2 linked regions of the Lepisosteus oculatus genome follow. The protein of the gene in region 1 purifies or fractionates together with the protein of each later gene. This does not show direct contact. Links are inferred from orthologs where the notes say so. Each region holds a gene or a part of one and is shown in the gene's direction. Other genes may lie near its edges. The genes, in order: katna1 and katnbl1.

The links.
Region 2: the proteins of katna1 (region 1) and katnbl1 purify together in Homo sapiens (affinity purification with mass spectrometry; 3 studies listed by BioGRID and IntAct, counting the BioPlex papers as one, with this or other methods). This does not show direct contact. The link is inferred for Lepisosteus oculatus from reciprocal best matches to the Homo sapiens genes KATNA1 and KATNBL1.

Annotation. Positions count from the first base shown.
Region 1 is NC_090697.1:4,943,394-4,958,272, forward strand, and holds the start of katna1 (katanin p60 ATPase-containing subunit A1), read left to right. Parts: upstream 1-7,669; 5' UTR 7,670-7,813; coding exon 7,814-7,816; exon of another isoform or gene 7,817-7,848; intron 7,849-8,445; coding exon 8,446-8,619; intron 8,620-9,713; coding exon 9,714-9,850; intron 9,851-12,618; coding exon 12,619-12,808; intron 12,809-13,623; coding exon 13,624-13,742; intron 13,743-14,528; coding exon 14,529-14,634; intron 14,635-14,827; coding exon 14,828-14,879. Other genes in the region: serine/threonine-protein kinase LATS1, read left to right, coding at 79-661, 2,306-2,488, 2,688-2,794, 3,105-3,641. UniProt on the Homo sapiens protein: Catalytic subunit of a complex which severs microtubules in an ATP-dependent manner. Microtubule severing may promote rapid reorganization of cellular microtubule arrays and the release of microtubules from the centrosome following nucleation.
Region 2 is NC_090703.1:16,024,696-16,040,287, forward strand, and holds the start of katnbl1 (KATNB1-like protein 1), read left to right. Parts: upstream 1-9,165; 5' UTR 9,166-9,368; intron 9,369-9,628; exon of another isoform or gene 9,629-10,090; intron 10,091-10,199; 5' UTR 10,200-10,254; intron 10,255-10,867; 5' UTR 10,868-10,881; coding exon 10,882-10,998; intron 10,999-11,353; coding exon 11,354-11,391; intron 11,392-11,509; coding exon 11,510-11,789; intron 11,790-12,438; coding exon 12,439-12,554; intron 12,555-13,523; coding exon 13,524-13,574; intron 13,575-13,662; coding exon 13,663-13,752; intron 13,753-15,464; coding exon 15,465-15,569; intron 15,570-15,592. Other genes in the region: acp7 (acid phosphatase type 7), read right to left, coding at 774-799, 1,788-1,970, 3,874-4,074, 5,607-5,715.

The DNA of each region.
Region 1 (14,879 bases):
GATGGCGGGTCTGGAGAGGCCCTCGGAGTGGGAGGCTGGGTTCTGATTGACGGGGGTTGCGTTCTGTGCTTTGCTCAGGTGGGACTCTCGGAGGATGCCCAGGAGCAGATGCGCATGATGCTCTGCCAGAAGGAGTCCAACTACATCCGGCTAAAGAGGGCGAAGATGGACAAGTCCATGTTCGTGAAGATCAAGACGCTGGGCATCGGGGCCTTCGGGGAGGTGTGCCTGGCCAGGAAGGTGGACACCAATGCGCTGTACGCCATGAAGACACTGCGCAAGAAGGACGTGCTGCTGAGGAACCAGGTGGCTCACGTCAAGGCGGAGAGGGACATCCTGGCCGAGGCAGACAACGAGTGGGTGGTGCGGCTCTACTACTCCTTCCAGGACCGAGACAACCTCTACTTCGTCATGGACTACATCCCGGGCGGGGACATGATGAGCCTGCTGATCCGCCTGGGCATCTTCCCCGAGGAGCTGGCGAGGTTCTACATCGCCGAGCTGACCTGCGCCGTGGAGAGCGTGCACAAGATGGGCTTCATCCACCGCGACATCAAGCCCGACAACATCCTCATCGACCGCGACGGGCACATCAAGCTCACCGACTTCGGCCTCTGTACTGGTTTCCGGTGGACGCACGACTCCAAGTACTACCAGAGTGGTAAGTGCAGGCTGTGTACGCGAGCCTGATAAGATAGATCAGATCACTTTGTGGGCCATATACAATTTCTTGAATTGGGAATTTGTCCTTCCAGATTCCCCAGCTTGCTCTCCATGAAGGAAGAGAAGCTGGGGGTCAGAGCCGATATGAATGTAGCAGTGTCACCCACAGGTGCTGCCTGTGGTTCCCTGCCTCTGTCCCATCTCAGAGCACTGTTCTGTCCTGCTCTGTCACACCACCATGTCCCCTTTCCTCCACGTCCTGGACCAAGCTTAGCGACTGAAGCACCATCGGTTTCCCTGACAGCGCCCATAGTGTTTATCTCAAATGGCACAGTTCAATAAGGGTTTTATAACTGTCGAAGAAAATATCGAATTGTGTGGCTCGGTAGAAGTGGAGAAATGTGTACGCCTTCATAGAAGTAAATGGAAAGCTGATGTGCTGGATTCGGGGGCTGTAGGAATATAATTGATTTTTTTTTTCTGCTGTTTTTGTCATTGATATCTAGCAAGTACCTAGCAAGATTTTATGTCTATTGATATCTTCCCCATTTTTTATTTTTCATCATGTGACATCCCTTAAACGTTGCCTTTTGGCAGCTTTGTGGCCCAGTTAAAAAATTCTGCTAAATATGAAACAAGATGAGGTGTTTCTCACTTATCACAGTCACCGTTAGTCTCATCACAGTGATCAGCCTCAAGCAGAGTCTAAAGGTCGTGCTTATCACTTATCCCAAAGGTTGTATAAGCTTGCATTTCAGTCCTGCAGATTACCAATGGTATATGTATATTTACCCATCCCTAATTTTGAGAAGATAATTTGTTTCTCAGAAATGGCTGGTAATGTGAAATTTCAGTAATCATAAATCACATTAATCACATGATATTTTTTTTTTTAATTACAATAAGTTCCGGAAACATTCTATACTCAAGAGTGTATTGAATACTAATGACTTCTAGGGAAGATGGAATAATTGTGAATTGCATATTAAAGGGAGATATATACCGTGGTAAAATAAATCCCAAAAAATCAGAACATGACAAATGATACTATATAATGTTTGTGGCTAGTATTTTGACAATTTATGATGCGTATGGCCTGCTTGAAAGACACATCAATTAATTTGACACCAGTGATACAATGTAGGATTAAAGTAGATTACAGCATCTTTAAAAACGAATGATGTATTGTTCTGTTCCTTAATTTCTAGTTGCTGGGTAGAATTGTAAGTTATGATCTAATTAAGATTAAGATCAAACTTGCTGATCTCCTTTTAATTGTGTTTTTTCATGAGGGGAGATCATAAAGTAAGGTGTTGTTCTCCTTTGGGAAATTAAAGTGATGAAGAGGGTTCGTTGTTCATGTACTTTACACGTCTGTATTAAGAAGGTCCTAATCCTGGACAAACTGTTCCCCAGCACAATTTAGTGTATTTTGTGGCGTTATACTGTACTGGGATTTGGCCCCACTTCAAAGGATGTTTTTCTTGAAAGGAGGAAAAGTGTGTTAAAAACTACGCTCTTTATAACCAAAGAGCGTAGTTTTTATAATCCAGTCATGTCCTGCCGATGCCGCGTTCGGTTTGAATACGTTGGGCGAGCTGTGGGTGAGCGTGCTCTCACCTGTGCCCTGCGCTCTCCGCAGGCGACCACGCCCGGCAGGACAGCATGGACTTCAGCAGGGAGTGGGAGGACCCTGCAGGCTGTCGCTGCGGGGACCGGCTGAAGCCCCTGGAGCGGCGGGCCGCCCGGCAGCACCAGCGCTGCCTGGCCCACTCCCTCGTAGGCACGCCCAACTACATCGCCCCCGAGGTGCTCCTGCGGACAGGTAACCGCCGCGCTCGCTCGCTCCACGCCGCGCGCCGCTCTCGTCTGCGCGAGGATTGTGCGAGCTCCGGAGCCCGCAATGCCACCGTCCCAAAAGGCTGGCCTCGCTGGTTTTGAGCTGTTGTCCGTCACACTCCGTAAGACGAGAAGTGGGCGGAAGTGCTATTTTGTTCTTCTTCTGAGATGCGGCTGCTTTTTAGGTTACACCCAGCTCTGTGACTGGTGGAGCGTCGGCGTCATTCTGTACGAGATGTTGGTCGGACAGCCACCCTTCCTGGCGACAACACCGCTGGAGACGCAGCTTAAGGTAACGGAAGGCACGCTGCGACCGCCGCGACCTTTACAAAAGACAACGAGCAAAAAGACCTGTGTGTTGATGCATGGAATATGGGTACTGCCTTCTGAGGCTGAACCCAAGTGACCTCCCTTAAATATCTCTCGTAGGAAAGTTACACACACCAGGCCCCCGAGTCTGAAAAACATGGGCTAGTTTGGAAGTCCCATTACTTTCTACGTAGCTTTGCCGATTCTCAGTCAGTCTCCAATGGGATTCCCGTAACGGCTCGGAGCACGAATTAACGCACGGGTGGCGGCTGTTCTCCGCTCTCTCTCCTCAGGTGATCAGCTGGCAGACGGCCCTCCACGTCCCCCCGCAGGCCAAGCTGAGCCCGGAAGCCTCGGACCTCATCATCAAGCTGTGCAGGGGCCCCGAGGACCGGCTGGGGAAGAACGGGGCCGACGAGATCAAGGCGCAGCCCTTTTTCAGGACCATCGACTTCTCCACGGACCTGCGGCAGCAGCAGCGGCCGGCGCCGTACGTCCCCAAGATCGCGCACTGCACCGACACCTCCAATTTCGACCCCGTGGACCCCGACAAGCTCTGGAGCAGCGGCGGCGGCGCCGGCCGCGGCGGGGGCGACGACGACGACGCGGAGGGAAGGAACGACGACACCCTCAACGGCTGGTACAAGAACGGCAAGCACCCCGAGCACGCCTTCTACGAGTTCACCTTCCGCCGGTTCTTCGATGACAACGGGCACCCCTACAGCTATCCCAGGCCCATCGGGCCCGAGGAGTACAGCCGCGACGGCCTGGACTCGGAGCCCCAGCGGCGGGACGCGGGGGGGCAGGGGCGTGATCTGGTGTACGTGTAGCCTGGGGGCCCGCGCGGACGCTGACCCGCTCGTTGCCAGTGTCGTCCGGGCCGCTGCTGGGGTACGAACAAGACGGTAAAGCTTGGGTGTTTGTATGATAAAGGAGGGGGCGTTCAGCCCTCGATCGGCGGTGGGTTCGCGCTTGACCTTTGCCTTCACAGCAGGGAGCCAGGATTTGGCTGGGAGACGGAACGGACATTTCGGGAAAACGAACACAAGCATCAGCAGAGAAGCTCCGGGGAGGACGTTGAAAGTCCCGTGCAGACTGTACGTTAGGTGTATTTATTTTGGGGTGTACAGTGTGTTCCTTGAATGTGCTGCCTGAACAAAAAAACTTCAAAAACAAGTAGTGGAAAGGCAAAGTTAAAATCTCTTCCTGTACTCTGTATCTGAAACTATTTTAAAGAAATAACCCCCTTTCAGCCTTAATTTATTTAAATATTGTAAACTGGTGATGATAGTACCTTTCAAGATAAACACCATAACTTGTTTGTTGTTGTTTTTTTTCCTTTAGGAGCTGATTATTTTATTGATATTGTTTTAATTTATATTTTGAAAAGTCTCATGTCCAGTTGTAAAGGTGAACTGAATTTCTGTATGGAACAGAGGTGGAGGAAGCGAGACCCTTGAAACTGTGTAAATTGCAGTGCCTTTCGAAATTTGTTTTCTTTTACCAAATATAGTCAAAAATTAATCGGCTTAGCATTTTAATGGGAACACATTAGCTGGTTAATATTTAGTGGATTATACTAGTAATTTTGTGTATTTTTCTTCCTAATTTATACATAAAATGTATTTATAAATTATGCTGTATAAATTTGGTGTAAATACTTTTCTTACCTATCCTGTTAGTACCTTTGATGAGCTATCTTAGGGCAGGCCCTCTTGACTTTGTAAGCTTTTTGATCATGCACACGTGGTCTCTCAAGGTTTTCTGCTTCTTGAAAAGAGAAACGGACCACTTGTCGGGCTGATACCCTGAGCTCGGTGAGGAGTCAGGACAGGGTGTGTTTTTATTTTAAAAACAAAGTCCTTAATACAAGGGGCTGTACTTTTATGTACATAGAAAATGGTCTTAAACGCAACCAAAGTACAAGGATAAAATACAGACTCTCCTCTCACTGGTTGGCAATTTGCAAAGCATGCAGGTAGCGTTCTTTAGGATTTGAAGAAAGGCATGGAGAGCCTTTGCACATTAAAACGGGCCCACCATATCTCTTTGCATTATCATCCTTTTCTTTTTGTGAGTTTTTTTTAAGTTTTCATAGGTCTGAAAATAATTCTGGAGCATAAGCAATGACATTTCTTTTTTTTTTTTACAGTGATCACGTTACCATGATTTCACAATCATTTCTTTAGTAATATCTGTAATTTCTCTGATGGGGGGGGGAAGGGGGGTTAAATAAAAAAATAAAACCAATTGTTTTAAAAAAAAATTGTTTCCACATCACTGCTTTTTGCACAGGAAATTGAAATGTTACAAAAGGATCCATGACAGCAGTATCTAAATGTAAATTGATACTTATTGAGAATAATGCTAATTAATGAATATTGCAGAACAAGTAGCAAATCATCATGAAACAAGATGCTGAACAAAAAATGTGAAGAAAAATTAAATCATTGTAACGTCACTTCATGTGACTTTGGACCAGTGACATGTCTGCCAGCATCTGGAATACTATAGGAGAAGTGTGGCACCATTCTTCCTTGAGAAAGCTGGTCGCCTTACGGTGTTTGATGAAAGTGGCAAACGAGTGTTTGATTAGGTTCGTATTAAGTGATGGAGACGGCCTTTGACCTAGGGACACCATCGTGGATGGGGGCACTGTCATCCTGAAATACACCCCTCCCGGAGGGAAGGAAATGCTGCAATATGGGGAGCAGATGATCACTCAGTACCATGAAGTACGCTGGCGTCCTGGCCAAATTTCCCCCTGGCCTTTACCCGTCATGGCCTCCTAATAATGCCCATCTCTGATCTGGCTTCATCACTCTGCTCTCCTCCCCACTGAGAGCTGGTGTGTGGTGAGCGGACTGGTGCACTATGGCTGCCGTCACATCACCATGGGGGCTGCACACTGGTGGTGGTGGACGGGAGACCCCATTACCTGTGAAGCGCTTTGAGAGATGTGTCCAGAAAAGTGATATATAAGTGTAAGGAGTTGTTACTACTATGATTTAATAGTGAATAGACCTAAAATGGCTTTGTAAAGGAATGAGGACAACTAAACCATGCCAGTAAAAAGCACCCCACAACATTACAGAACCACCAGAACACAGCTGAAACCATGCACTCAGGGCGTAGGAAGAGTAGGGGGAGTAGGAAGATAGTAAGTCAGTTACTGTAGGCCAGGCCATGTACAGCCCTATACAGTAGGTGAGCATGAGAATTTTGAAGTTGACATGAAACCTGATAGGAAAACCAGTACAAGGACTCCAGGACAGGAGTAATGTGATCACTTGCATGTGACCTGGTCAGGATTCTGGCTGCTGGATTCTTGAGATACTGAAGTTTGTTTAGTGTGGATTCAGATACCCCAGCAAGTAGGGTGTTGCATTAATCAATTCTGAAAAAGACAAATGTGTTGACCAGTTTTTCAGCTACAGTTAGAGACAACATAGGAAGTAGTCTGGCGATATTTCTGAGATGGAAGAATAATTTACACCACACACACTTAAATATGTGCCTAATGGGATTTTAAGGCATTGTTATTCTGTTTTCAGTGGTTTTTGGCTGTGTCCAAAATTTATTTAGATCATTTAATTTATTTAGATACTTAACTTGGGATACACTCCCTAGTCTATTTTAAAACGACTGCAGTCATTGTTACAATAAATCATGTGGCGTGAACAAAGCAGGTTGTAGGAAACTTATCTTTAGAATTTAGTTTTGTGTCAATTCTGTAATTTATTAAAGAAAACCCCCAACATTGTGATTTGAATGCCTGTACATTCATTTCTCATTTTGTTTTATAGAATGGTCATGAAGATTGGGTCCAGTTTGTATTTTTTTAAAGCAGACCAGGGATTGTCAGAATTACAATGTGACTCCATCGGTCGGTGTTGTGCCAGAGCCAGAATGCACTGCGGTTTCTGCACCACAGAAACCAGAAGAAGGAAAATTCTATCCAACCACTCATCTTCTAAAATGCTTTATCCAGTACATGGTCACGGGGAGCCAGAGCCTAACCTGGCAAGCACTGGGCGCAAGGCAGGATACACCCTGGATGGGACACCAGTCCACTGCAGGTCCAGAGACATACAGACAGACAGGGGGACACTCACACACACCAGGAACCACGTTCCAGAACCCAGTAAACTTACCAGCATGTCTTTGTCCTCTGGGAGCACATTGGAGCACCCAGAGGAAACTAATGAGAAGCCAGGGAAAACACGCAAACTCCACACAGATAGCACTCTGGGGATTAAAGCCAGGACCCCAGCACTATGCTTAACCACCGAAATAAGGTGTTTTCTGGACAGAATGTCCTATGAAAATAAATAATAGGGAGTTTGATGTAGTACATGTCTGTATTATAGGTAGCTGCGTCAGCATGCGTAGGCTGCAAAGGAACAAGTAATAGGTTTATTCCATGCTGAAAAAAAGAAGAAAGAAAACACAACGTTTCGGCCGTGGAGCCTTCTTCATGTCTGTATTATGTTTATGTATAGTGAGTACACCCATAATATGTTGGGTTGGATATAGTTTGTTTGTTTTTTTACTGTGTATGGGAAAAACAGAAACCATTTTACAAACGCGAAATAAAAATTAATTTAACATTCGCATTAAACATAGCCGCACTATTTAAAAAGCATCAGCCCCTGCCATCGGCGCACAGTCTCCCAAACGTCTAGTACTGCAGGTGGAAAAACACCCCCCGGGGTGGCTGGATATGAGGCCCTCCTGCCGCCGAGTGCACCGCAACGTAGGTGAAATGTAGCTGACAAACGCACCCCCCCCCCCCAAAAAAAAAGTTTTCTCCTTTTCAAATGGCTGAATGTCCCGGACACACCCCTCGGCAGGTCCGGCCGCACCAGGAAATGACGCCTGCTGTTTGACTTCAAACTCTCCCGAGGCGCTGCGGCGGCGCAGGATGGGCGGACAGGCTTGAGCTTGCAGGGAGAGAGGCGCCGTCGTTTTCAGGGACGACAGTGTCTGCAGTTCAGCTTTAATGGTACTTGCGCTTCTCCTTGCTTCCCGCAACAGGTGGGTGTTTTAGGGCTTCCTCACAACAACAACAGCAACTGCAACAACAACATGGAGAGGAGCCGGGTGCGGGTCGGGGGGCAGTGAGGACGCTTTCTTTGTCGTCCTCTGCTGATTTTTATTAGGCACGCCAGCCGCAAGAGTTAGCACTGAAGTTGTTTTAAGACTGGTCCGGGAGGTTAACACACTCTCGGGGTGCGTGTTTAGGTTGTGGGTGTTAGTACCGGCCTCGTTTTATCGTCGCGACGAACAATAAGCGAGCCTCCGGCTTGTTTTTTTTTATTAATGATCTCTGTCACTGCTCGACGCCGTCGCTGAGAGCCGTCTGAGGGATGGTCGTCGAGGCGTAAGATCATTTTTAACAGAAGTTTTAGTGACGGGCTGCAGCCTGTCCCTCCCCACGTGTCTGGAGGCGAGGTGGAGATGGAACCGGGACCGATCCCGGCCCGGGTCCGCCTGGCCCGGGCGGTGGTACCGAGCGGCTCCGGAGGCCGGGTTACATATGGCAATAAAGTTCAAGTCAAGTCAAGTGTCTGGCACACGGGGCGGGTGGTGATGACGCTGCGTGTGGTCTCTCTCCCCCCCACACACGTGTAGGTGATGTTCAGCATGAGTCTGCTTGAAATCAGCGAGAACGTGAAGCTCGCCCGGGAGTACGCCCTGCTGGGGAACTACAGCTCCGCGCTGGTCTGCTACCAAGGCGTGCTGGAGCAGATCAAGAAGTACCTTTTTGCAGTCAAGGATGCCGCTTTGCAGCACAAATGGCAACAGGTAACCACTGTTTCAGGTTTCAGGTTTATTTAAAATAGGGTGACCATGTTTCGGTTTTTAAAAAGAGGGCGGGGATAATCTACACTCGACACATGCCTCCAAAGTAATGAATCTTTATGGTTCTTTCTGATTACAAAATCAATTTAAGCTCCATCTAGTTTTTATTAAACTTCCTGGTAAGTTTTAAAAAAAACAGTTGCAGGTGTGCTCTTTCTCTTACATAATGGCAAACAAGGAAAAATAAACATTCAGCCTTGTTTAAAACCAACGAATGTCTTAACATCTAAGGAAAAAATGAATACATCGTCCTCATTGGTTGCAAAAATGATCAAGTTTAACAAAACATTTTGAAATATAATGAAACACGTTCAACTATTTCTCATGGCCATCAAATGGTTTTTGTAAGTACAAAACATCTACCGGTAATACATGGAAGGAAGGAAAACCTGTATGCCGATTGTCTGTTTACACAGTCTGAGTAACGAGCAAAACAAAATCCCGGACAGTTTTATCAATTCCGGTCGGACCGATATTTAAGGTCTCGGAAAGAGGGACGTCTGGTCACCTTTACTCAAAACCATTGCTTATCGCAGGCATCAAGGGCTGGTTTCGGGATTATTGGAGTCCAAAGCAGATTTGCCTAAATTCACATGGGGGAGTGCAAGACAGGCGCTGTTCAGGTGTCCACTGTATGGAAGCAATCCTAAGAAATGTTGGCAGTGAAGGGCTATTTGCTCATAAGGTTACAGTACTGTAATTGAATAGGTGGTTCTTTGAGGCGCCTGTAGTTTCACAACTTTCAGCAGTACTGCATTATTAAAAGTGCGAATGAATTGTTACAGTTAACTTTTAACCTTTGGATACAATTAATAAGCAGTGAAATAAAGTTTCCTTGTGTTATGAGTGTGTTTTGTAAGAGCAGTGCAATGCTTAAAACTAGTACATGAAGCGGTTTTATGGTAACTTTGGTCTGAAATAGACTAGAACGTTAGGCAATGGCTGTGTTCTAAGAAATAAGATAATGATAAAATGTATAATAGTGGAGCTTGTAGAAGCAGTACATGCCGTTAAGTCCCGAGTGTCTCTCTTAACAGGTGTGGCAGGACATAAATGATGAAAATAAACATGTCCGGGAGATAGTGAGCACTCTGGAAAGCTTCCAGTTGGAAAACACGCCCTCTAAACCCCCAAGTCAAGACGGAGACATCTGGCCTGTTCAGGTTGAGCGCAGGTATGTGCCCCGAAGTGGAAGACATTTTTGACGTCCCTTGACTTCTCATGCAAGACTTGGGGTTTCAGATCTTGTATTTGAGTGCAGGTTTAGTGTGTATTTCAGGGTGACGTGGTTGATCTAATCGGTGGCTCTTGATCCCGGAGTGCCCTGTGTCTGCTGTTTTTGTGTTCCAACAATTCCTCAGTCCCTCGTGCTGGTGCCACTACTGTAATTGATCGGCTTGCTGCTTTAAGCCCTGGATTTTGCTCTCGGGCCTCGATGGCATCAGAGTCACTCTAGCAAAGTCTTTTCAATTCAATAAAGTTGTTGGCACACCTCTTGCAAAAGGGATCCCCTGATCTTAACTTTAATCATCTGCTGCAGGGGCAAGTTTCTTTTGATGTGCAGCACCTATAGGTATAGAGGTAGTATTATTCTGAAATTTACTTTCACGCTATTGGAATAAACGCCAACTAAATTGGGCTTTGAACATAGCTGCTGTATGGTCAGCTCCTCACTGTGTGGTTAAAGATGAGGAGAACAATAAGGCAGTTGTCTGAAGGAAATTCTCCTGGATTAATTCATATGACCTGGCTTAGCGCAGTGGTAGACTCATAGTGTGGAGCTGTCCTGATTTACTGCTTTTTCCTTCAGATCTTTGGACCTTAAAAGGTCTAAAGTAATTATGGCCTTAAAAGTATATATTGTTTTGACATGTTCTGAAAAGGTCTTTTTTTTTCCCCCCACAAGCAGTCATGGAAGACTGCTCTGCCTGCTTTTTTGTAAAGCGTTGTGCAGTATTCCTGCAGCCAAGATCTAAAAGACTTTGATTTATAAGTTGGTTGTCGAGTTTTAGATGAAAACAAATATAAAGAAGCATATCTGTGTCGGGATTTAATTTGCAGGATTAAACAAGGAGTGTGCCTAAGTGTAACTGTTTTTGAAAATGGTCATTTCTCTTACACTTAACTGCACTGTGAGCTCCTGTCTGGAGTTGTGTGTTTGGGGTGCACCTACTCTGCACTGGATTATCATCTTATTTTTTAGACGAGCTGCTGTCAAGTCCTCATTCCACATGGCACTCGTTCCAAACAGAACAACAGAAGGTGATCATAGAAAAGAGCTTTTTTTAAACTGCACTGAAGACTTCAGCACTCGAGGAAGAACGAGTACAGTGTTCCTTTGTTCCACATGAGCAGTTAGATAAATTCATCCTTATCTGTCGCTAAAAACTGCTGCTGTATGGAAATTTTTTAGAAAAGGCTCCTAGCTTTTTTGAAGCTAATCTAAACCATAGTTACTCTGTGAATTATAAAGTCTTCTTAAGGTTTTTCAGTATTCCCAGCCTCTACATGGTGACCGGAATTGAACACTGTTTTCCCAATCATACATTGCAATGATTTTAACTTTTTTTTTTTCTCAAGTGGCAAACCTTTCTGTATAGAGTTTAATGTTTGGATAGATGAATAACTCAGGGGTTGCAGAGTGGAGCAGAGGTCAGGGCTCTGTACTTCACACTGAAAGGCTGTAGATTCTAATCCCAGGTGAGACCCCGCTGTCATTGCCTTCAGCATGGTACTTCTCCCGGAGCTGCGTCAGTCACATATCCAGCCACGACAGTAGGTGCAAGTGTTGGTTTAGATACGTGTCCATCAGACTGGCAGCTGTCGTGCCTTTTCCCTTCTCTTGATGGAGACAGTGAGACGACCTGAACTCTAAATACCTTACAGGCTCAGTACCACATGTTCTTGGTACCTGCATGTAGTGCAGTGTATATGTCTAATTAAATGTAGTTTGCCAGGCATCAGTCTAGTCTTGAGAAATGTTCTTATTATTCCTGCTAATATTGAATTATATCCACGCTAAACCTGAATTTGAACACATCTGTGCTGCCATTTAAAAAAAAATAGATGGAGGCTCAAAGGAAGGTGGAGTTAAGTAAACAGTGCAGAGCAGGGAATGAGCTAGAGACAAAACACTCTTCAGATCAGTTTCCATTCGTGTGGTTCGTAGTTGCGGTTTCTAAACCATCCTGATGTATAGAATAATGAGGGTTCTCTTATTAGTATAATAATAATAATTGCTTAAACTTATATAGTGCTTTTCTGGACACTCCACTCAAAGCGCTTTACAGGTAATAGGGATCCCCTCCACCTCCACCAGTGTGCAGCCCCACCTGGATGATGGGCCCACACACCAGCTCTCAGTGGGGAGGAGAGCAGAGTGATAAAGCCAGTTCAGAGATGGGGAATATTAGGAGGCCATGATTGGTACACGCCAGGGGGAAATTTGGCCAGGACGCCAGGGTTACACCCCTACTCTTTTCGAGAAACACCCTGGGATTTTTAATGACCACAGAGAGTCAGGACCTCGGTTTTACGTCTCATCCGAAGGACGGCGCGTGTTTACAGTATAGTGTCCCCGTCACTATACTGAGGCATTAGGACCCACACAGACCTCAGGATGAGCACCCCCTGCTGGCCCCATTACCACCTCTTCCTGCAGCAGCCTTAGTCTTTCCCAGGAGGTCTCCCATCCAGGTACTGACCATCCTCACACCTGCTGGGCTCTAGTGGGGCTGCCAATTGTGAGTTGCAGGGTGATATTTCTGCTGGCTGAATGAATTGAACAAAGGTCTTAATCTTCCCAATCCCATGCATTTTTAGGAAACCCTGTTTAAAAGCATATTTGTGCCTCGAGTTCAGTGCGGGACAGACTTGCCGGCTTGCTAAGGGTTCTGTAACCTGTGAGTGCTGTTTGACGTCTCCTCCTCCTGTCCCCCGAAGGTCATCGCCTTGCCCTGCCCGCCGGCAGCCTGTTCCATACAAGGACGGTAAAATCCACCACAACAATCGGCTGAGTGGGGCTGGCAGGGCTCAGCATCGGCAGGTAGCCCGCGGAGCCAACGGCGACCGAGCCAAGCCGGTCCGGAGCAAAGACAAGAGAGAGGCGCCAGGCAGATCAAAGGAGGACAAGGTGCTGCATGTTTCCCTGCTATTAACGGCAGCCCGTTTGCCCTTTTCTGTGCACTCTTAAACGCTTCCAAAATGCATCCCAGCTAGCAGATTTAAAATAATAACATTCATTCAAAATCTCAATTCTGCAGGGGTGTGGCCATGTTTATAAAGATGTTTATAAAGTAAGAACAATTGTGGAATTTTGTATGCAAGTGCAGTTTAATGCATGCCTTTATTTTCGTGCCTTTTCTGTAAAACTGTTTTTGAATGTAGAAAAGTGCACACTTGTTCTAAAAGAAAAAAAAATCACTTTAGTGGTTTTTAAATATCATCCCAAAATGTATTCCATTTAATAGCACTTTTACTCTCAATTATCTACACTTCAGTTTTATCCTAATCATCACTGTGCCATAAGCCTTTTATTTTGAAGTAGCAAAGCATTGTAGTGAACTTCCTATGTCCATCAGAGGTGTCTGTTTTAATTTTCTGAGATGTCCACTGTAAAAGAACGTTCTCCCTGAATGTCATTCTTTCAACTTCATATGTTCTGTATATCATTGGTCAAGTTTTGTGTTTGAAATCTGCTTCTTGTGAAGCATACTGTACATGAGTGTGATGTAAAAAAAACAGATTAAATCTGAAACAATTGGTTGATTAGGGTTATTCTAACATGACAAAATAAGACCAAATTAATCCCATTTGCTAACGTTTGCATGGTCATAAGCATACAACCATAACACTAGACTTGTTATTCTGGTTTGTGATTCTCAGAATGATCAGATCTCCCTTAATTCCCTGGAGTAAGTACAGTAATTGTTGGTTTTTGCATTACAGAATAAATCTGCTGATGTTTCAGAGACTGAAGTCAAGAAGTTTGATGGAACTGGATATGATAAAGACCTTGTAGAGGCCCTCGAAAGAGATATAATCTCTCAAAACCCAAATGTGAAATGGTGAGTAAAAAGTTCTTTTTGTGACATAGTGTATCATTAGTGGCTTAACAAGGAAATTCTGTGGAGTTCATTTTGGCACAATTCATTTTCCTGTTTTTATATTACAAGCACCTTACCTCCTGATTTTACAGAAACAATGGTGTTTTGAACACTAAACAAAAATTAAATTTTTCATGAACTCAAAGGGCAATTGGACATTGGTGACCTGATAATATGTACATAAATCATAGAAAGTTAAGGTAAATGTATAACACATATATGCATTGTAGTGAATAGCAGTAATATGTTTTAACGAGTAATGTTCATTTCAAATAGACATAAAATCAAAATAGAACAAAAAAAGAAAAGATTATTGCACATAAATAAAATGGAAGTCACATACTATGCCTGTTACACATTTACCTTTTCATGCTTTTCACAACACCTGGCTTCCTGTGTAAGATACATCTTCCTCAACTTACCTGCTGCACTAGCAGGTGATGTTGATCAGCACTTGGCAGTCATGATGGCTGGATATTTTGAGATGAAACTCGCAGGATGTGCCAACGCCGTACTTGTTTTGCAACAAATAACAGTGGAAAGACGGAGACAGTGCGGTATAACTTTGAACTGACAGAGCATGTAACCTTTTTCTGATGCGCATTTTGACACAAATTCCTTATGTGAAACCCTGAATTTGTTAGGTACAGAATGTACAAGACTGCGATGAGTCTTCCAGTAAATACTTGGGTGTTGGGTAGTATCCTTTTAAAACCCACATGTAATTATCTTATCTTCCATCTCCAGGGATGACATTGCAGACTTGGAAGAAGCCAAAAAACTGTTGAAGGAAGCTGTCGTACTGCCTATGTGGATGCCGGAGTTCTTCAAGGGAATTCGTAGGCCCTGGAAGGTACTTATGGAATATTTATGAAGTTTTCCCAGGGTGTGGCCGTTTCAGTAAACCTTGCTTTGCATGCAGGTGTTCGGCCTTTTCCTGGATGTGCCAGAAGGTTTTGTGTGTTTTGCAGTAGCGTGTGGAGCGCGCCCGTGTTCACCAGCTGGATTGAGATCGCTCTGTTTGCTAACCGTCTGTTCCCGTGCAGGGAGTGCTGATGGTGGGCCCCCCCGGCACAGGAAAGACGCTGTTGGCCAAAG
Region 2 (15,592 bases), on another chromosome or scaffold:
TGCAGGTGACAGAATGGTCTCCTTTACATCTTGAAAGCCAAGCACAATTTTGCTACTTTTTTAAATGTGTTCACTGGGACTTAATAATGCACTCTGGGTCTCTAATTTCATTGTGTCAGAGTGTTTTAGGCATTGTAAATGGAGACTTTAATAAAACAGTCCACTTCCCCTGCTCTCCCTTGTTACTGATACTGTGGCTTATTGTACTGCTGTATATCTCCCATTGTACAAGAAGACAATGCTGGCAAGGCTGCTATTGAGTGAGTAGTACAGTATGAACCACATGACAAGAATCTCTTATCACATTTCACGTTATCCGTATTCCAGATTGTAGGGCAAACTAGTTTCTCTGGGGCAGACATCTGTCCCTTAGTTGTCCCTAAATATTCTAGGGAACAGGATGCCTTCTAAATGTGGCAAAACATTTCAAAGGGGTATACTATAACAATGTGCTCTCCTCTTTGAAGTGATTGTTTGGATACCTTTGTCTAACTACAAGTTTTCAGTTCCATTTTAAGTTGCCTCACTTTTTTTGCCATACCAAATGAATGCAAAGCTCTGTGAAGCCTGTCATAATATGGAGCATGGAGTAGTACGATGGTACTGTACTTGAGTACTGAAAATAAACGTGCCCTTGTACTTAAATGGCTTCGTACTGTTCACAAAGTAGCAGCTGGAAGACTAGAGACGAAAGACGAGAGCTCCTAGACATGTAATCAAAAATAACAGCACATATAGTTATTTAAAACAATTAAAAAAGAGAAGAACATTACCTCATCCATGTCATAGGCAAAATCACCTGGAAAACACAAATAATGATTATTATGCATGTGAAAATCACAGTCCTTTAGCATTCATAGTTTTATCAGTGTTTATTAGATGTTCCGAATGTCAGCAGATACACACAAGTGCATATTAGCAAAAACATATAATAATATAATTCAATATTATTATTGATTTGTTTGGCTGATGCTTTATATAAAGTAACTTGTCTCTAAGTATTTATAAAGTTAGGAATTATACAAAAGCAGCCTGAGTGAAGTGCCTTGCTTAAGGAAACAACTGAAATTCCCCACCTGGGACCTGAACACTGTATTTCTTAGTCCAGAGTCCTGTCCACTATTTTACACTGCTCCCCAAAAATGTTTATCTTTTAACCATAGTGTATCGGGTATATTTTGCTTCAAAAACATTACTTTTTCACAGTAAGGGTGATTTAGGTTTTAGGCACTTAGGTAATGCCAACATATGTATAAATATGTGGCCCACAATATGTAAAAAATATTTATCCATTAATGTTTTAATCCATGATGGGACGTCGGTCCATTGCAGGGCACACACAGGCACAAACACAGTAACGCACACACTCACACCAGGCCTAATCTCCTTGAATCTAATTAACCTACCAGCATGTGAGGAAACCGGAGCACCCAGACGAAAACCATGTGATTTTTTAAATCAATGATATAATTCATTTTTATAGTGGTATTAAATGAGCATAGGAAATGCAGTGTTAAAATGTTCGCTAATCACCTCTTTCAAGAAGGCTTATATGATGCTGAGAGGCCTTAAAATGCAACAATGCTATTGGCTCCAGTACTGATTTCTTGTGTTTTAATGCCTCTCAGATATATAGATGAAATTCCAATTTCAATTATTATTTTTAGTTTTTTGGCTACGCAAGTTATGTTGACATAACACCAATATATATAAACATTCTACAGATCTTAATGACCTAAGCACAGTGTACCATAACACTTACAGCTAGTTATTGAAATGACCCTTACCAATATGAAGGATGATATCATACATTCCCATCTGAGTTTCCTTCTGAAGCCTGGCTAAAGACTGGGGGTTCTCATTGCCCAGGTCACCAAATAGTGCAAACTTAGGGCTCCATTCGGTGCCACTTTTCATTGCAGTGAAGTAGAACATCTCACTCCAGCCGTCACTGCTACCACAGTGATAAACTGCAAAAAGACAATTACTTCTGGTTAGTCACGAATAAATGATGCTTTAGCCCTGGATTCTTTACATTCTTCCCTTGCATGGTGTTTTGAGTGATGTCTCAAGATTGACACTTTTATTCAAAGTGACTTCGATTTGTACTCATTTATGCAGTGGGCATTTACTGAAGCAATCTAAGTAAAGTACCTTTCTCAGCAAGGTACGCATGGCCTCTCATGGGATTTGAACCCCCAACCAGAGCCCTAACTACAGTTCCACACTGTTGCCCCGAGATACAGTATATGCAAGGGCTCAAATAATTGACATCCAAATGAAGACTCTGGCTTGTTATTGTTTTCATTCAATAAGGCTGATAGGTTTTTCCTTTTTTTAAACTTTTGAATAATTAGAAATCTCAACAAGACAGATTGTGAGAACCAACAAGTCCAAAATCATTTTGGGCTGTTGTCAAACATACACACCCATTAGCATTTAGCTGCTCTTTCCTGGCAAGGGTTATGACAACCCAGTTCTTATTCTAGTAGTATAAGGGGTAAAGCACATAGTATCTGGCTGGGGCTGCACCCTGGACAGGACACCAGCTCATCACAGGGCACAAGTAAACACACAGGCACCAATTAAAGGCACTTAGAGACACAATTAACCTAACAAACTAATCTCTGGGAGGTGGGAAGAAACTAGAACACTACGAGCAGCCACACCACCATGTTGTCCTTTTTCACAATGCATATATATACTGTATATATCTATCTAAACATTCAATTAAAAATACAGAGGGTAATGTTTTTGCAAACTGTAAATTGTAGGTTAGTAAGTAGCCATGGGGAATAATAGCTATGAAACACACAAAATACATTTGATTACATACTATAAAACTGCCATCTAGTGTACACCTCCGGAATAGTCTGATAAAATCATCCAAACACAAAGGAAATGTGATATAATATTATTACTGGTGAATGGTCTTTAGATGCACTGGGTTTAGATATTAACTGAAATATGGACACAAAGGCAAATGCCATCTTTTACACTCTTCTTGGTGTTTCTTGCTGTTTGTAAGGTCTAGCTACTGTATAGTGTATTTAGTGTCCAGGTGTGTTACACTCCAGAGTAACTCAAAATCCGTTTAAAAGCAGGGCTTTCCAATTCTAGTCCTGTGGGACCAGTATGTCTACAGATTTTCATTTTCTCCAAGTTAGCCAAGCCAGCAGGTTACAAGCTTTACTGGAGCAATTTAACAGCTTCTCCCAGCTCTTCAGGTGCTGCTGCTATAAAGCTGCCATGCAAACCTTTCAGGACAAAGACTGATTACCCCTGGTTTATAGTATGTACTGTATACCATGAAAATCACTATTTAGACAGTGTGTGGATCTACAGAGCTGCAGCTGAATTATATTTTCCCACTCTTCCTTTTTCCTGATTCAAATAAAAGCAAACAGAAAGGTCTGAGTAAAGCTAAATGTGCTTAAATGTCTCACCATATTAAACGGCTGGGGCCAGAAAGTACAGAAAAGGAAGAATAATTCTGCTGAACCATATAAAAATAATACAGTTGAAAGATGACACCCATCATATTAAACAATAAACAAGCAGGACATGGGGAAGGGTACACGTGTCTAAATATTTTGAAAACCAGAGCCTTGAGGCACATTTCTTTCCATGCACGTGTAGTTATGTAAATGCGATTCGAAAGGGTTTCAAGTAAAAGTGATCTGTTTGTGGTGAACCAGCCACAGCTCATGCAATGTTCTTTTTAGTGGATGCCTGTTACTTGAAAACCATTCTTCCCTCTGCCTGGCAGTCTCTCAGTGCTGAGAATACAACGATTAACTCTCTCCCCATATTACACAGTTTGCCAGACAGCACCCCAATCCATTTCTAGGCAATTTTGTAAACATACAGTACCATAGGTGGAGCCTGGCTTGAGGTCTGTAAGTGTCACCCGATGAATGTGTAGTTTTCTCTTCTCCTTGCCACCATCTTCAAAAAGAGTGTAGCTGCCTTTGGCAGTCAGCTCAAAGAGCTTTCCTCCCCAGACTCCATACTCCACCCAGGATTCTGCTTTATCGAAAGTGGTCCAGGTGATGACCATAGACTGTGGGACTCCTGAAAAGAGAACCAGCTAAAGCTAACTCCTGGGATCAAGGCAAAAAGAATAGGAACAAGTAAAGGTTTATTCCATGCTCAAAACAGAAGAAAAGAAGCACAACATTTAGACTGTGGAGCCGATCTTCTCTTTTCTAATATTCTACTCTTTTCTATTTATTCTTTTTTTTACGTTTTTAAATGGTTTGCTGAAGGAACTTCTTGATCTAGTAAACAGGTTTTGGCTGAATAAGAGGAAATTAAATGAAATAGTACAGTGTTTACATCAGAATATATAAATATAGGCATTCTGTGTCCATGACTATACAAATAAAAGGCTTTAATGACAGACGTAATAGTCTATGTGTTCTCCTCTTTGGCCAGTCTCATTGCCTAAACCCAATCAGGAATGAACCAACTGAATGAACCAATATTTTTTTAACTACATTCAGTTTTTGCCATGGCTTTGTGAGTCTGTCCTTTCTTAGTCACATTGGCAGGAATTGGACATGGTATTGGAACTTGCCATTGAGTTGCCAAGTTTCCTGTGTGTTTTGCAAAGTTCATACTCCAGATCACCCATGGAAAATTTTCAATACTGATATTCAATATTGATGCTTCTGCGCAGATTTTTTCGTTCTTCCAATACTTTAACCCTTAATAATTTAAATATTAAAGCTACCCTCAAAATCTGCAAATAATAAAAAAAAACCAATGAAACAGGAATTTCATAACAAAATGTTCTGACCATCCCACATAAGTAAAGCTCACCGCCAAATCCTTAACAGAATGAGGACTCATTCCACCTGACCTTAAAAAGTCCTAAAAAAGACCTTTTTTGCTTTCAGGCCAGTTAAGTTTGTAATGTCATTAATTGTCTAGGTCTAATGGCTCTGCCCTGCAGCTCTCCTGAATTTTCTTCAGTGCTTTTAATCTGTTCTTTTCGTCTATGTTAAGGATTACTTAGTAATGACGTACAGAGTGTCCAAAAGCACCCAACTAAACCACATACCTTCATTCTCATCTTAGCATAAATATGGGAAAAATTCCTTATATTTTGAATGATGCAGTTAGTTCATTTTTAGCGTTTAATAAACGTGACATTCAGGGATCTGCAAGTAGAAGATTAATAACGGAATATGTGCTTTCTATACTTAAATGTACCTAAATGTTCAACAACATTTTCTTTTGTCTTATGTTAAAGACTTTCCTTACTTTTTAAGTCTAGTATCTTCATCCAATTTTTCATCCTATGAAACCTGTTAGCTGTGGTTTTCTTCTAAGTGACTTACTTCTGGCTGTTCTGTTAAAAACAAATAATTTACCTTCTGTCACACTAAAAAACCTTATACTCAGCAATTCCCACACAATTTTATTGCGCCCATGACTCCTGATTCAGCTAGATGCTTTTCTCAGTCTGATATTTTCTTATTTTTACATACTTTCATCATAATGACTGATATTTTTTTCAAACTGAAAGATTGTCACTGTGTTTTTTTCATTATTTAGAAGATACATTTGATGGAAACAAGTAAACTAATAAAGAACGTTACCTGGGTAAGATATGTGCACCTGTTCTGGTTGTGTACCAATTGGAGGGACTCCAAGTACAAGGTGGACTCCAAAGCAGGAGAAAATACAGAGTCTCCAAACCAAGTCCATCTCTTACTAATGTCGAGAATCACACACCCTTATCTGGTTATTCAGAAAAAAGTATAATTTATTATTTATTCCGTAAAGCACTTTGATAAGCTACCTTTAAAGGAACTACATAAAATAAAGTTTTATTATTATTATTATTATTATTATTATTATTATTTGTTGAAAGGAAAATTGTTTAACAATCCTGACCTAAATCAAAGGTTACATTCTAATGTGTGAAACATAGCCTGAAGAAAACGCACATCTGAAAGTCAAAACACTGTTTTCATAGGTAGAATGAAAATGGTAGTTATCTGTAACAAGTAGCTTGAACACAACACAAATCTAGTACACGAAACTACAAGAGAAACTCATGTGATCTTGTCATGTGATCTTGTTTATGATAACAGTTTCTGTTCTGTTGCTTTAAAAGAGCTTAATACACAGCAACTATTTTTTTTAATTCATTAAGATGTTTACTGTTTTCATCTCACAGCATTTAACCAAGTGAACATTTTCTTTTGTCTTATGTTCTCAAATAATTGTTCTGTGTAAACAGAAGATATATAATATTTGAAAGTTGTTTACTTCTTAAAGGATCTTAAATCTTTCAAAAGCAACTGAAAACTGTATTCTTACCTGGTAAGTTATTTGGATACTATTAAGCACATCACTTTCAGATGTCCCATAACCCTTATTGTCTTTTCTTGGGACATTGGCAGTTTCCTTTTTAACAGCTTTCTCACACAGTTAACATCTGTATTCAACTTCCTGTCACATGCAAAGGTTAAGAAGCAACAATCTGTCAGCAAAATGCAACATAAACAAGAAACCACAACGCTCCCAGAATTTAATTCCTCAAAGCCGTGAAATGTTTTGGATATATTTTTATTTACACTTATGATACTGTAGTTGTAAACATACAATGTCATTGTGTCATTCAGGAAGTGCTGCTCATTTTTTTAGACTTGAAAGTTTATTAAATATTAAACAAGGAGCCAAGTGAAACAAGACCATAGTTAACAAAACATCTACTGTACATTTCTTATAACCTAGGCCAGAAATAAACAGAATTCCCTTTAAAGGCAAAATACACTGCATAATCCATTACATTTTTAAAACAGCAGTTTTAAAATATGCAACAGAGTATGAAGGACTAATATTGCAATTGAAACTCGACAGCTGGTCTTTCCTGTAAATATTGCAATACGGGTGCTGCTAGTTTTTTATTAAGTTTAGATATGAAAACATATTGGTAAAGATACAGAATTATTTGCTCGACACATTGAGGGAACAAATTATAATTATGTATGAATATTTTGTCAACACTGGTCATTGCAATAGTTCTAAGATATCTCAGAGTAGCTTATTCATTTAAATCGCCTTGTGAATGTTATCTATTAAATTTCAGACACGTTTCAATAATAATGCATAAGAATTTAACTTGTGAAGCTTTCTTAGTAGCTTCCTTTTTTGTCTCTGCTGCAGAATCTCTAGACCTTGTGTTTCTATATACAGAATCATACACATTTGTGACCTTTTGTTGATACATACTTTAATTTATTGTCTCAGATGGGAAATTTGCTTTGAAGGCAGGTAAAAGACATAATACATTTCCACAGCAATTAATTTTAACAAATATGAAACATACATGTATGATGAGAAAGAAAATAAATATATAAAGTAAAATATAGTCAGTTGTCCAAACTAAGGAGGTTAAACACTGGGAAAAGTTGACTAACGTCTATTGCTCTTGAATCTAGGCAATCTACTATAGATGGAAGGAGGTCAGTTTTACTGTGCAAGGGGTGGTCATGACAGTTAATGATAACATTGGCATTCCACACTATTTGTCTGAAAGCTGTAGTTGGCTACCATCACAATCCTGCTCAGTCAGTTTTTATTGTGGGTGTTAAAGTTACCAAAACAGGCTACTGCAGTGAATGTTAGGACAGATTCAAGGACGGTTCTATGGAATACAGTCATTGTTGTGGTACCCACATTAAAAGAGTGGAGTTTTTCTAGAAAGAACAATTGCTGTTGACTCTTCTTACATACAGTATTCTTGTGCAAAGTGATTAGTATCTTGACACTGTTGACAATTTCAATCTCTAGCTCCTCGATGATTGTTGGTTTTGCAGCTGGTGGTTACTTTCTATAATCAATAATCATGTCTTTGGTTTTTGACACATTAAGAAAGGAGTTCTTACAACAGCAAACGGAATGATATGTCTGTCCTTCAAAGGGCTTCTACAACTATCTGTATACAGAATGTATAGGATGGGGGACAGCACACAGCCCTGAGGAGACCCATTAGGAGAACAAAGCTGCTCTGATATAAAACCATTTACCCTCAATCTTTGTGATCTGTTGGTCAAAAAGTCTAAGATCCAACCTACAATATTAAAGTCTACATTAAAATGTGATAGTAATTTCTCCACTAATAAGTGTTGTTGAATGGCGTTAAAGGCTGATGAGAAATCTATATATAAAAGCCTGGTGTGTGGCTTGGGAACTTCTACATATACAAAACAATATTAGTGTGTAGAAGTTGAAAACCCAACAAGTGGGAACTTTGGAAGGTTATTAATATTCAAATTATAGCATTATTATAGCATAATAAGTATTTAATAAATCAAAACTGAATATTATTACAAGTGCTGGGGAAATATTCTCTTGATACATTATCAATTTTCAGTTAGTTGTGTATGCGGTATACACTATGTTATTGGGAAGAAAATATTTTTATAGCGTTAGAGTGATCCATGCAGTCAGTGCACATACTGTAGTTAGACTTTAAGGTAACACATTCAAGCCATGGGGGCTCATTAGGTCAGAGACCATCCCGTTTTTTGCCTTTAATGTCGGGCAGTACAGCCCAACACTCCACGGATAGGACGCCAAGGTATCGCTGGGATTACCTGATGAAAATGCTGATTCCAGGTTACACAGCAGTGTGTGTTATGGGGACTTCAACCCACAACCTACCATTAAATGCAGAGACCTACAGTACCTACTGCGCTATCTCCACCTTCAAAGTAATATACATTTTGTAGATAATCAATTTCACCAAACTTCGCATTTAAAAACACAAACCTTTAAAGAAGTAACTTTTTAAAAAGTAACTCTCATCCACACTGATTAAAACACAATGAGTCGGATACCTAAAATACGATTCAATGACAAAAAAATGCCCGTTATTGTTTCACTGTCATTGCTTTGTAGTGCATATAAGTGCCATTTCATGTCCACATTTTATTCTGCTGCGTTTGCTGATGTCGTCAATGTCTCCAAATAGGACAAGTCTGATTTCTCCCCACTTTCAAACAACTATCGACGCAGTTTGCACTCAAGCTGCAGAAATAGCCCCCGGCAGCTGCTCTAATATGGTGTCACGGGATCCCACCTATTTTACTCCTGGACTCGTCGTGCCACTAGGGGGCGCAGTAGCCCATGTGACTGCCTAGTCACATCAATCCCAACATGCCGTGTTCCTCTGTTTGAATGGCGCAGGCTCAGCTGGGGGACTGTGAATGTGTGTTTTAGTTCCTTATATTTTTACTTTAATAGACACTTACATATTAAATTTTAGATAAGAAATACAGGAAAGGAATACCACCGTCCGAGGACATTCACTTGCGAGAATCCCCCATAAACCTTTTCAAAATGTAACGGTAGGTGACTTTTTTCCTGGGCAGCAGAGAATCGCTAAAAAAATGAGTTTGTGAATTGTTTTGCAATTATCGTTTTCAAAAGAAGTAATTGTAATTCTGTAGCTAAAACGCATAGTTTAGGCATGCCGCTCCTGCTTCAGCATTACTCGGTACATTGTACGTAGGCCCCACTATCAGCTTTCCATGTACTCTTAAGAGTTTCTAAACAAATGTTTCGCTTGCATGTGCTGTGGCACGAATGAAAAATAAAATTGTCTTACCCGAAGTGTTTGAAGTATATTTTATTTCAGCTACGAACTTGAACCGGTTAAGATATAGTCAGGTCTGAAGGGGCCCCTTGGGCCAGACGGACACCAGAAGTCACTTATAATTTGTCGTTAATCCTTGCATTCCAACCTTTTGAACTCGCTTAATACTGTAAAAGAGTCTGCTTAGAAGATCCAGTAATCCAGTTGTGTATTTAAAACTGCGCCATATTGTTGTGGAAATAATAGATGAGTAGTAAGCATATTAGTCAGTTGGATTGTGGGTAAAATGGGCAGAGCAGTTTTTAATTTCGGTCGTTTTCGCGTAATGGTTTTTTTTTCGATAAAGTTCAAATAAAGTTTTATGTTTGTTTTTTATATGTAATCGTAGAAAAATCAAATGGCACGATAATGTAAAAGTTTCCGTTGTTCGCCGACCAAGCGAACTGTCATACCATGTCTGTGTCGGCGCCCGTTTCCCGGACTGCTGTCACCCTGGTCGTTTTTCAGTTTTAAAAGTTTATTTTTCTACAGGCGATTTTTTTTTGTCTTATTTGTCAAAGAAATGTCGTTACTCTATTAATAGATGATAGGGGTTGGTGTTCTCCATGAGGGATGAGCACTGGTGACGGCGCTTTGAGGTGTGTACTGTTCTTTACGCCTCCGTTGTGAATTCAGTTGGAAAACCGGATCTCAAAACATATGTACAAAATACGCAGGGCAATGTTTTAGAGTGTATCAGAAGACGCCTTAATTTAAACAGATTGGTGACTGAGGATTTTTAACTTTAGCTGGCTGAAAGTGTGTATTGAAACGAGGAAAAGTCCGGGCCATCATGCCGCTATAAGAACATTTTAGCAGGTTTTCTCTGGCTGCATGTTCTTTGTATGGTAACATCTTTGTTCGTGTTGGTTTCAGTTTTTATTATTAACACCGGCCGATGCATACGACACTGCTCTTTTTGCAGTCAATAGATGCCCATAAAAAGTTTGATCATTTGTAGAAGTTTTACATATTCTACAAGTGGTGTTGTTAACAATCTGTAGAAGAAACGAGATTCTTGTTCAACCTGCCCTGAAACACATTTAAAATTAAAAGTAGAATATCTAGCGGGACTCTTGGAAAGGTATGGGGTTGTAATTCCAAAGACGAAGTGTATGATCTTGTGACAACGTTAGTTATTATGACCCTTAAAATAATGTTGCATTGGTAATGTTGCATGAAAATCATCCCTGTTTTGTTTTTATCCTTAAGAAAGTTACAGTATTATGGCCTCTGGAGAACATGATGCTGAAGTTAAGGATTTCCAGCATCTTGAGGAGGCTCTACCCAATGAACTTCTCAAACAAAAAATGCTATCTTCTGGTAAAAAGAACATGAAGGAGGTAAGAGGTTGGTTTATTGAACCTGAAATAATTCAGAAAAGGATTTAGAGTAATTCTCATATATTTGAAATGGCTGTCAGACAATGTATTTACATATTTTACTTATACTTTTGAAGACAATGTATGTTTTATAAGTAATTTTTAAAGTGCAGAGATAGAAGTTATGAGGTTATGCCAGTTTGTTAATTTATTTTTGCAGCTAAATATTTTACTTAATGCAGTTGACTTAAAGGTACAACAGCAGTGTTTCACCGGGGATATGAATCCAGGAATATTAATTACAGAACCTTACAACCACTTTGCCCCACTGCTATCCAAGGTTAAGGCCAATAATATTTTTATTTCTATTTTTCAGGTGGATTTTTTTAAACTGGAAGAAATAAATAAGAAGAGGTAAGTTTATTTTCATGCACCTTTGTGGTTAGAGAATTTCAGTTTTCCAGTATCTTAACTTTTAAAAGCCATAATTAGTTTCTGTTGTGTAACTGCTGTCTGACCCCTTCCTTAACAGATCTTCAATTGGTTGCACTGGACAGAACTCCACCAAAGTCAAAAGGGTGGTATCCAGCAAGAGAAAGACTCGGCTCGTATTTGTAAGCTCCGGCGGACGGCGGAGACAGCCCTCGGCAAGCCGGAGCTGTGATATGGCAAATAAGGAAAATGAACTGGCTTGTGCAGGCAGCTTGCATGAGAGACTGTACAATGATGATCATTGCGGGTTCCCACTGAACTCTGCAGGATCCACAAGGATGGAGGGTGCAGGTTCCAAATACAGTGATTATTTTGCAGAGGTAAGACTGACTGCACTCCTCTTCAGCTCTTTGTAGTTATTCTTGATGCTCAGTAGTGTGGTATATGCTCATTGATGTATGAAATGTTCATTATCTTTTTTTTAATAACACATAGGCTTGAAATACTGCAGCACTAAGCATTGTGCTTTCTTCTTCCAGAAGAGACATCAGGTTGCATAAGAAAAAATATTTTTTAGGCTTTTGCAGTTTATTTTGTGATCTGTTTTCACTGTCTATGGGTAGCTTTTTCCTACTTCCCACCATTCTTTAGATAAAGTCGTGCCTCCAGTTCTCAGTTACAAATGCACTAACACATAGTTTGAAAGGTTATGTTCTTTGAACCTGCCACCGTAGGACATTTCCTTAATCCCCAGATCGTTTCTGATTTCTGGTTTCCAGAGCAGCACTTTTTTTTACCAAGATGCCAGTTGATTTTATCTAGCTTCTGCAACATTGATTTATAAATTGTCATTACACATTATAAAGTAATTCTGCAAAATTTGCTGTAGTTGTTTGTGACCTGAAAGGTAATTCAGTTTTTTGTATTGAATACAATAGTGCATGATTTTCCTTGTGAATTGTTTGTTAGAAATGCAAGCAATATATCTGAAAATCAAAACCAGAGACATACATTTTTCTTTTCCAACAGATATCAAAGGATCATGATACAATGACACAAGTGCTTTTTGGAAGAAATCTCAGGCTAAACGTAGCTCTCACTCTGTGGCGAAGAAATACTAGTGAATTAGTTGCATATCTGATCAGGTAACATGAACACCAAATTTGCCAAAGTCTGAAGTGTTTACTTAATAAAAAATGTTTTGTATGCTTTATTTTGTTATTGTAGTTCTTATTGCAACAGTGCTTGCCAACTAATTTTTTTAAAGTAGAAAGATCAGTCTAGTATAAATCTGTGAAATAATGAAACTTCAGTATAAATAGAATTGTTTATTACAAAGTGAATTAATAGATACTGTGCAGTATAACAGTGACAAGTGCAGTTCTACAACCAATGAGATTCCCCTGACTGCAGAGAAATTCAGTATAAGTAAAGATTCTAAGGTCTTTTCAGCATCTCACTGGTAGGAAGTGCTCTCCAGGTTTCAAGTGATAATGTCACGTTCTGTACCAGGTTCAGTATCAGTGAGCCCTGTTCCATAACTAATAGTACTATCATGGATGTCAGGTTTCAAATGCTATAAGATAAGAACAAATATATCTAGGAACATGCACAACTTAAGATAAGTAAGCTAATGATTAATGTAATTTATTAAACTTAATATTTAAATGCACTATACTACTTTGCAGATACCAACATGGGCTATGCAAATGCATCAACAGTAACAATATATACTATATTACTAAACAGAAGTAAAAATTGACTTATCTACAGTTTAATCAGGAGAATCCTGGTATTTTGAGTTTTTGTAATGTCTTTAATAAGTCAAAGGTGAATTAATGTACAGATTTATGCAATTTTGCATGTTATACTCCTTTTTGTACTCCATTAATATTGTGAAAAGTTTACAGAAAGCTTTTCTTTTAGAAAGTATCAGGTATACAGAAAATTAAAATGAGCCAGCCGTCTTCACAAACTAGGTATGTCTCTCTTGAGTTTTGCATTAAAAAAAAAAAATTAAACTAGTTAATTGGTATTGAGTGATTTGACCTAGTAACCAATTTAATCTGTACCAAATATTGTTTGAAAATCTTTTAATTTCTTTTGTCCTTTAGAATTCAAGATACGGGTGTACTTGTTGATTGCTTACCTGTAATTACAAAAAGGTGAGTTTTTAAATATAATAAATTAACATCAGATTTTCTAAAGTCAATTTCTTTACTTTAACCGAATGTTTCTTTTTTCCTATCTTAGCCTTCAAGATGAGAAATCAAGTATATCACTTGGCTGTTGTGTGGACCTCCTACCACTAGTAAAAAATGTACTTAAAAGTAAATATGAAGAGTAAGTATCCTGTAGTACGTGCACTGTCTACTCAGTTGTACACACTTTTCATTCTCGTAGAGCCAAGTTCCAGTGATGATTTAAGGTTCCACATAGGGACTAGTGTGGAGCAGGAGTCAGGATTGTAGAACATTCATGGGTTCAAGAACCCAGGTGCATATTGCTTGGAGTAAGTAGAATAAAGTGCCTTGTACAAGAACACAATGGTAGTATTAGACTTGAAACTCTACATTGCATCAGTCTTTTCTGGCACTAGAAAATTATTAGTTCATGTGCCTAGTGCAAATACTGTTGTTTTATGTGCGAGTAAGTTAATTATATTGCTGTAGTTATACAAGCTTTATAAATAGAAATTACCACTGCTCAGGCTTAACATGCATCCTATTTTATCTTCAGTATATTTCATGTTAAAGCAATCAGGACAATACCCATGCCTAGGAAACACTTAGGTTTGTGAATGACTTAAGGCATAAATGTGGTTTACTATTGAATTTAAAATATTTATCTTGTCTTGAGTGATATTAGTTATCTGCTACACACTGTGGATCAATGCTTACGTTTGCTGTTCAGTTTACTATCTTGTTTTTCACAGTTAAAAGCTTTTCAAAGTTTGTCTTCAAAGCTACAATTACAGTGATATAATTTTGTGAAAGAAATAAAATACTATAAATCTAATTAAACAATATTGTAGGTTTTGACAGAAATTTGCAAATACCGTAGATGTATCAAGGTTTGACCAACGGTTGGTCTTTCAACAGTGTTTGTTATTTAAATGTTGTTTTAATGACTACTAGTGCCAGAAACACAATCCTCAAATTACTTAAGGACCCAGAAAACCTGCCATGTACTTTATGTAGGTGGAGCATTGTGTTAGATTTATTTAAATATAAATCAAATACCATCTTGAAAGGTACACATTGACAGAGATGGACCTGGCATTTTAAGGTTACCATGAATCAGTGAAGATCAAGCTCTGTTAATGAGCAAAACCAGTATCAGTGCAACATCTTAGTGTGCACATACAGTACTGCTGCTCCATGATGCTTTAGCTTATTTGTATCACTTATTGAACACATGTAACTATGTAATTTATGTAATAGGTTTTCACTGTCCTTTTTAATGGAGCAGGTCCTGTTTAATACTAATATGTATTGAGTCTAGTGAGTCATTTCTTTGTTCCCTACACAAAGATTTTCTGTAATGTGTTCTTTGTTTTTAGTTACATAAGATCACAATTAAGTTATAAATGTCTTCTATCAAATTGATTCAAACTCGCCTTAAGGGGTGACGTCCTAATTGAGCCAGATTGAAAACAGCATGTTGAATTCTGGTAGGAGTGTTAAACAGGCACTCACATCAGTGAAACTCAAATAAACATTTTTAAATTTGGCATTGTTTCAGTTTTGGTAAACAGGAGATTACTGACCCTTAGGCTGTTTAGTTTTAAAGTGATAGGTCTGTTAGTCAAATCAAGAGCATGATTCTTTAAAAATTGTATTGTCCTTCAGACACAGTTAATTGGAAGAACTGTTCTGCCAAATATCATTTAGTGTCTGTAGCTGTTGTCAGAGCAACAATTTCTAGATTTCTGCACTGACGTGCTTCCTTTGGAAAACCTGTCAAGCTGTGCATTTATAAACACTGAATTAAGATCAAGATGTAATAGTGAATTTTATTTCAACTGAATAAACATCTTGCATTATGTATTTCAGATACCTGATAGTTGGTTTACTCTGGGTTCAGTCTGTTATTAAAAAATGGTGGCCAGAACTATCTGCAAATGGCAGAAATGCTCGGGATAGCCATTCTGAGGATAGGTAAGGTTGTGCTGTATTTTTCT